Linked DNA regions of Arabidopsis thaliana. The protein of the gene in region 1 interacts with the protein of each later gene in a pairwise test. Each region holds a gene or a part of one and is shown on either strand. Other genes may lie near its edges.

What was found.
Region 2: the proteins of ALC (region 1) and ACI1 interact in a two-hybrid assay, tested with the Arabidopsis thaliana proteins (one study listed by BioGRID).

What each region holds. Positions count from the first base shown.
Region 1 is NC_003076.8:26,784,540-26,788,552, forward strand, and holds ALC (basic helix-loop-helix (bHLH) DNA-binding superfamily protein), read right to left. Parts: upstream 1,893-4,013; 5' UTR 1,800-1,892; coding exon 1,563-1,799; exon of another isoform or gene 1,451-1,562; coding exon 1,379-1,450; exon of another isoform or gene 1,289-1,378; coding exon 1,223-1,288; coding exon of another isoform or gene 1,145-1,222; coding exon 1,079-1,144; exon of another isoform or gene 985-1,078; coding exon 793-984; 3' UTR 567-792; downstream 1-566. Other genes in the region: ICU2 (DNA-directed DNA polymerase), read left to right, coding at 73-192, 263-337, 425-565; AT5G67120 (RING/U-box superfamily protein), read right to left, coding at 3,291-3,551, 3,925-4,013. UniProt on the Arabidopsis thaliana protein: Required for the dehiscence of fruit, especially for the separation of the valve cells from the replum. Promotes the differentiation of a strip of labile nonlignified cells sandwiched between layers of lignified cells.
Region 2 is NC_003076.8:150,571-155,096, forward strand, and holds ACI1 (ALC-interacting protein 1), read left to right. Parts: upstream 1-1,875; 5' UTR 1,876-2,004; coding exon 2,005-2,953; intron 2,954-3,390; coding exon 3,391-3,725; 3' UTR 3,726-3,897; downstream 3,898-4,526.

The DNA.
Region 1 (4,013 bases):
GTTCTGAACATTTGTGATTTGTCCTTCTTAATTTATGCTAAGACGTTTTCTTGTACATTTTGCCTTCAACAGTGTGAAGACGAGTCATGCAAGCACACAACCCGCTCCCCCAACTTTCGTCTACTCGGTGAACGTGAACGGGGGACAGTTTGCCCAAACTATCCTAACTGTAACGGAACCCTCTTACGAAAGGTATATACCATCATCAACCTTATAACTCCTATCTCTCTATTGCTTCACAGACTAACTCTTGACTTTACAGTACACTGAAGCAGACTTGTACAAGCAACTGTCATACTTCTGCCACATCTTAGACACACAATGCTCTTTAGAAAAGGTTTCTACTTTACAACCTTGTTATATTATTAATATCAATTTGTCTTGTCTATATCCCTAAAGTTATCGGTACCATTTGAAATAACAGATGGATGTTGGCGTGAGAATTCAAGTAGAGAAAGCAATGACGAAGATAAGACCTGCGGTTAAGTCAGCAGCAGCAATCACTCGAAGTAGTAGAGACCGGTGTGCTTATGGATGGATGCAACTCACAGACATAGTCATTTGATAGTTGTAATAATCATCTCATATGTAAGTAAATTAGTCTTTTATATATAATCTGCTTCAGACATCATTATAATCAAACTACTCAGATTTTGTTCACTCCTAAAGCTTATTAGCATAACTATAACTGAACATAGAAATCTGGCCAATGCTAAAACTCAAAACATTGTTCACTCCTGTCTGGCAGGTACTAGAGGAATTCCGATCATCATCATTGTCTGAATGTTATCTTCAAAGCAGAGTGGCTGTGGAAAAGCACATTCCTTGACTTGTTTTAGCTGGTTCCAGCGAGTGAGGAGCAGCGAGAAGAGTCTCTAGGTTCAGGTCTTGCTCTAAGGTCTCATTGATCCTTGTATGAGTTGGAGGTGGAACCTGTGGTAATCGCATAGGGTTTAAGCCTAAACCATTCATAACGGCTAAAGTCTGCATCATGCAGTAAATCAAGTTAATGATCTGAGTGATGTAATTTACAAATCAGACTTTGAACGTATATAATCATAGTAAGTAGGAAAAAAACCTGGACTTGAAGTTGAAGCTGCTTCAGATATTCTATAGCTTCATCAAGCATTGAGGCTTTATCAGTCTATAAACAAACAAAAGATAACGGATCAATCAGAACAATGTTTCTCACTATCTCTGATTCGAACAAAGATTGATTAACCTTGTTGGAATTGGGAATGAGTTTCTGCAAAGCTTTCATTTTCTCGTTGATCTTGCTCCTCCTCTTCTGCTAACACTCAGATTCTAATCAACTACAATCTCAAGGTTCTTCTTCTTTCTAAATTAAGAATCTTAAAAGGAAGATAAAAGAGAAAACCTTTTCAGACAAGTTGTGGAATTGAGCATCAATGTTTCTCTTCAACGAATTTCTCTGTTTAGCTCCACTTCTCTTTAGTGTTTAGCCATTCCAAAAAGAAAAGAGACTAATTTTGGTTTTTGTTTTCTTTTACAAGGAAAGCCAAGTGAAGCATCTCTGCAGCTAAGAATAGTTAAGTTTATACCTTGTGTTCGAAAGCATATTTGTCTTGGCCAGTTTCAGAGACTCCATAACCGACGGAAGAAACAGCTCCGCCGGAAACGGAAGGGAAGAAGGTCTCAGCGGAGGAAACATTAGTACTCTTCGGTGGTGAAGAAGGTTGAGCTGTAGGAGTACGGGAAAGAATCTGTCGGAGAAAGCTCGAGAGTTCGTCGGAAGAAGATGGAGGGGGAAGACGATCACCGACGTCAGAATCACCCATCTCTCTCTCTCTCTCTCTCTCTGCTCTACTCTGTGTGTAAAAATTATCACTGTGGCTTTTTCGTAGTAAAGCTTATAGGCGGGGGAGGTAGGACGCGTGAGATCACGTTCTTCAGAGAAGCGCGTGGAGGTTCTAAAAGAGGCGAGTGGCGTGTCGAATCCCTATAGACAGAATCTGGTGTCTCACATCACTCTGTGTGTGAACAGTTTCCTTTTGTAGCAATTTTATTTAATAATATTATATTTTTTACCTAATAAAAAAAAGGAAAAAAGCATTTTTGGACCACCAAGTAAATAAAAAACATACATTTTTATTGTTTTTTTCAATGTGATAAGTTAAATTGAGAGGAGGGGATGAAATTATGAAAATCAGTAAATGAAACGGTTGAAAAAATAAGAGTATTGATAAGATAGAGCATTGATAGACTATTTAATTATTATTATGACTAAACATGAAAATGGACAATTACTTGAAAAGTAAGGTCTCGCAACAGTTTCACCATTTTTGACAAATTACAAAAATCTATTTTTTCCTTCTTTTTTGTTGTTGTTGTTGTCCACAGATAAAGTGTGAATAAAACTGCATGCATTTCGAAAGATTATTTATTCGAGAGATTATTTAACACAAAATAAAATTCAGATATTATAATGGTCAATACAAAGACGATAACATGTCCTTGATCATTAGCCTTTTTTTAATGCATCCAAAGGGAAATATATATAATATAGTAATTAAAATAATTATGGTTCATAGCAAAAATAAGAATAACTAGATTTTAACCCGCGGTATACCGCGAAAACAATTTATTTTTTAAATTAATATATATAAAAGTTTGTAAATTGTATCTATCTATAAAATATTTTTATTGTATAGTTTACAATTGTTATTAAGTAACGTCCTGCCAAACCCGTCCCGCCAACCCGTCCTCTAAAAAAACTCATTTATTTTATGAATGTGATCTTATTTATGATATGTTTATGAATTATTGTCTAAATATTTTGTAATTTTGTAGTAATTAAATGTTATCAAATATCTCTACGGTTTGATGATTATAATCATGCAGAAAAGCAATATCAAAAATGATAATTTTGTAGTAATTAAATGATATTAAATATTTTAGAAGTTTTATTTTAGTAATTAATCGTGTAGTTAAGGTAGAGAGATTTTGGAAAGATTGTTAAATGTCAAATATTTAATTAGAAGATTTTCTTTCTAATTATCAAAAACAATTATTAAATGCCAATGACAGCCGCTGTAAATAAATCCCAACTCCAGAATTTATTTCACAAAGTGGCTGCAAAAATATATATATAGATGATAATAATCAAAATCAGAAATCAAATCAAAATCCAACTTGCCATCTAAATAAATGGAATCTTTCTAACTTGATAAAAAGGGAAATATTGGTAATTATGGTTCATAGCAAAAGAAAGAAACAAAAAAACTGAAATCCAACGAGATAAACGGAATCTTTCAAACTTGATAAAACATTTAAACGACTTCTCGGTTGCAAAGAGGACACTTGTTCGTGACCATTAGCCAATTCTTGATGCATCCGAAGTGAAAGTCATGCCCACATCCCAGTTTCGAAACTTCTTCATTGTCCTTCAATTTCTGCTGACAGATCACACATCTCTTCGTTTCATCGTCGCTACGCTTTTCATATTTCCTTCTTATTAGATTCTCATCAATCACTTCCTCGCTTAAACCAGTGCGTTCATCTCCTGTTTCGTCAGTGATGCTCAATAATTCCTAGAAAAAAAAAGATTCATTCATAAAATTATCGATATCTAAACTCTGCAGCTTATACAACTCTAGAATCAAGAAACCAAAATGGTACATATAATTTTTATTAAAGAGAGTCCTAATCTCTTCTACATCTAGGATTCAAATGCACTTCTTTGAAAACTACACATGCAACCGACTAGTTAACCAATACTGGAAGCATTAAATTTTCAATGTTATCTTGCAAAAAACTCTAAAGTGCTAACTTCTAAGATACAATGTTCATAACAAATGAAAAAATGGTGAAGGCTTTCAAATGTGATGTAAACACTTTAGTAGTTTTTGAAGATATTTGCATATCAAAACTTAATCTAGTCTAGTTATAACATATATAATATACCTCGTAAGTGAAGATGTCTCCATGAGAAGATGGATTTGTATACTCTTCTAGTGACTCTGTTTCAAATTGTTCATTTGTCGATGACTGTA
Region 2 (4,526 bases), about 27 Mb from region 1:
CAACAACATAGAAACTTGCCTATATTCTTGAGGTTTTGGACAAAACAATTCGATCTATATTATTACGTAAATTATAATGAGTTTTGGTTTTAAAAACAAATTTTAAAGGGTTTATATTTCTTATTTTTATATACAAAAAATAGAAGTGAAATAATTTGGAGAGATATGCTTAGATAGAAGAAAGAAACAGAAATGCATAATAATTGGTCGAGAGTTGATAGGGAATAAGGCAAGTCTCTTTGTGGCAATATTATTCACGCGCGTCAGACATTATTTAGATTTGTCTCTCTGCTTTCGTTGCCTCTTTTTCCGGTGTGAACTAAGCGACCCAAGTACTTTCTCCTTCACCTTTGAAAATGACGCCACGCATATCAGATTTTCTCGTGTTTCTTATTTTGAAAAAAAGTTGAAAAAGTTGAAAAAGGAAAAGTAAAAAAGAATCTGTAAATATTTTATACTACCATTCTCTTCTTTTTCTTTGTACACTTCGAATTTTGAATTTGGAATCTTTGATCTTGACGATCATGCCTTGCAAATATTTAGCTAGTGAAGCCATCAACTTTTTATAGAAAGATATTATTTAACATAACAATAGCATCATATCTTAATGAACTAAAAGAAGTACTAGCTACATTGTGTTACCCGTTGCGCATGTATTGTATCAACGAATGAAATTATAAAAACTAACGCTAACTAAATGGCCAAATATAATCAAACAGAAAAAACAAGAAGTTCTATATTATGAAACAGACTAATCGTGAGTAAATGTAATGATCAGATTAATCATACATTATTAATCTCTTAAACTCGACGACAAGAAAATCAATGAATACCTTTAAGTTAGTTGCTCTAAAGACTCTCTATATATGTTTATAATAGTAAAGCGAAGTAGATAGGTTTCGAAGAGGCCTTTTGCAACTTTATAATATTCATCTTGTAAAGATTCTAATCACTATTCAAAAGATTGATCCCGCCAACTTATTTAGTATCTGATAAAGATTTAGTCCTCTATATCTTAAAATGAATTGTTTTACCGTGCAGTGCACATTGAGAAATAAGCTAGAAGTTTCTTTTGTTGAACTGTCATTCTGGCTAAAATTATAGTTCTTTCAAAAAATTATAGTAACGGAAAATTTTCACATTTCAAGTTTGTTTAACATTACTAATCTGACTTTAGCTAAATTCTCATTTTATTTTAGAATTGCATGTGACATATTGGTTTGCTAACTATATACATCTACTTCAAAATTCAAGTTTCAACCTGAAGTTATATTCAGTATGTTTGAAAAGTAAATCACATATAGTAACATTTTGTTCAAAGCTTTAAAGCAATCAGAACAAAGTTTGACCATTTTAAATATAAAACTTACGTGAAGGAAAAAAAGTTGTTACATGACCTTTATTTTGAAATAATTGATGAGCATATCAATAGTATCAAAGTTTCTTTCAAAAGTATCAAAGTTTCTTTTCGTCCGTTGAGTTTCAAAAAACAGAATCATCAGAGCATATCACTTTGGATATAGCTTTTAAATTGATCCTGGGTACTTTTTCCTTTCTATGTTACCAATAATTAATCTATTATATATTATGTCATAAGATACATACCGATAAGAAATAAGTGAAATATAATGGTTACATCATTAACTGAAAACATATTTTATTCACTGCAAACAAATAAAATAACATAACATAGTAATTTTGGTAAGATCTTAAAATATCTGAAGTGACTTAATATGATTAATTAGATTGAGTTACCAATTAATATAAACTGAATAATAAACGTTTATTAAACTACAATTTCACTTAACATATCAAAATTTCACGATACTTTTGTTTACCCATATAGTTTTGCTTTAATTTAATTAGTTGGTGGGTCCTCGCAAATAATGAGAAATTGTGTGTTCTTCTTGTCCTTATAAATACCAAGAACTTGTTTGCACATTTTCACACACACTCCAACTTAAAGCACTATCATTATCACCATCATCATTATCAGCCATCACCATGACCCAACGAGCCAACCCTAAGACCGGCTGCCTCACGGCGGTAGTCCGCCGTCTTCTATGCTCTGGTAGCCAACAGACTCACCCTTCCGACAACATCCTCGACTCTGACGAAACACTCCAACTACTAATCTCTTACGAAGAAAACGAAGAGCCAAAGAAAGAGATCAAAACCGAAACCGAAACCCAAAACGATGACGTCTCTCTTCACCCTCCACCACCTCCTCCTCCTCCCAACGTTGTAGCCAAACTCATGGGGCTAGATCATCCCGCACCCGGATCAAAACGGTTCCGGTACTTTGATGATTCCGGTTCGGCTGTCACAAGGAGCAAATCGGTTAACTTCATGGACTACATCCTAAAAGGTCACGAGGAAGAAGAAGAAAACGAAGACGAGAAAGACGGTCAACGTCAGTGCCGGAGAGTCAAAGCTTCCGTTTCTTTCCGTGAGATAGTCCCAACCTCGGCGAGATGGAGCTCTAATAACCAACAAAAGAAACATGATTTCCTGCTGTTGTATCTTGACAAGCTTGACGAGAAGAGAGAACTTGTCGGATCATCGTCTTTTTCGAGGTCTAAAAGGTTCGAGAAGGTTGTGGAAGATTCCAAGAAGCCGCCATTGCCACCTTCGGCGCCGAAGAAGAAGGAGAACGAGAAAGTTGCTAAGAAGTTTAAAGATGAGCCGAGGAAAGTTGCGAAGAAGAAGAAGAGTGAGAATCGAAATGACGTTAACGGAGCCAAGAAAGTTCGTTGGTTTCTTTCTCCATCTAAGAGTAAGTCGTCGTCGGAGAAGACTGCGCTTCTAGGAGAATCAAAGAATATTCGGGCTGATGAGTTTATCGGAAAAGAGAGTGAGTCGCCGGAGAATAAGTCTAACGCGAGTCCGGTTTCGGTTCTTGATCGAGATCTTTATGATTATCTAATCCTTGACGATGATTACTACTTCTCAGGTGAGTCTACGAAATAATATTCAAACATTTTTATCTCTCGAACAAATATTTGAACTTAATTAATTGCTTTTTGAACCTTCTTTGAAATTTTGCGAAAAGAATCATCTCATGTGAGTAGTTTCCTACTTTAACTGCAAATGAGGTAAAAATTTGGTCATTTGGTCAACATTTTAACCGATTCAGTACACTTTATTTGAAATACTAAATAATAAGATTATTCAAAATTTGACCAATATAAGAATTTTCCTTAAACGTTGGATTTATTTGAAAAATGATTAAATTTAACCAATATAAGAACATTTTCGCTTTTAACATTTTTCTTGATTTTACTGTAAAAAAAGCTGCGAAAATGAGACTTTCTCAACATTTTCGAGAAATTTTATTTTTATTTGCCCAATCATATTTTAAACGTCACTTTAATTTGAAAAATAAAACAGGAGGAGATTCAGAAAGTGCATCGGAGTTGTCAACAAAGCAAGTAGAGACAGCAACAAAATCTTCATGTTCTTCATCACCAGCAAAAACAAAAACAAGTACCAAGAAAGAAAACAACAATAGCACCAACAATGATTCAGAAGAGACAGAGTTTATCACAAAACTAATGAATATGCTCTCAGATCTGTCTGAAGAAGACATGAAGTCTTCCACTTGGGTTTCTACTTCGTCAACTAAACCCGTTGACTTTACTCAGGTCGAAGATTTTTGTGTCGAATTTGGTCAAGAGATTCTTGACCTTGTTATGGACCAGCTAGTTGATGAACTCTGTATCTAGTTTAAATTCCCAATTATCAGAAATATGTCGTTTTAAAATCTTGTAATCCAAATGTTAACCAGAGACTCACAACAATCGAAATTTTCATCACTCCATATTTTCTAAAAGTGTTATGCGGCCAATATAAGTTATTGACCAGAAAAATTATGGTTAACATTTATGATTAGTACTAAAGACTATAATGTACTCGTCTTAAATAGTCCTATAGACAAATATACCTATCCAAAACACAAGTATGTATATGGCGAATATCACCAAATAAGCACAAGGATAATCTTAGTGACTCGAATACTCGATCATAAGAATGAAATTAAATTCAAATTCGATATGACGAATTATCAAATGCATTATAAATACATGTAGTGGGTCCAAAAACGGTCAAATCGGTTTTCTTCTGAATTTTGGAGAGCTCCGTAACTTCGAAATACGTACTGTCTCCTTTATGTCTATTTCACATGCAAATCATGGTCTCCTTCTAACGTTACTTCTTTGACGTTTTTTTGTACTTTTCTGTGTTTTTTTTGGGGGGTTCACATGTAAAATTCAAGAACATTTTCCCACTCTAAATTATTTAAGTTTCGAATTATAATTATTTCATTTAGTCATAAACTATTTTTTTGCCAACGAAAAAGTGGTAAATATTGAAGGTCCTTGTATTCGAACTGGTGACCTCACAGAGTTGGTCACACGGCTCTATACAATTGAGCTGACGCGGCGTATTAGTAATACGTGTTTTTTAAAATGAACGGATATATTAGTGTGAACGCGTTATAACACGGTTTCATGTTTTCGGTATTTTTA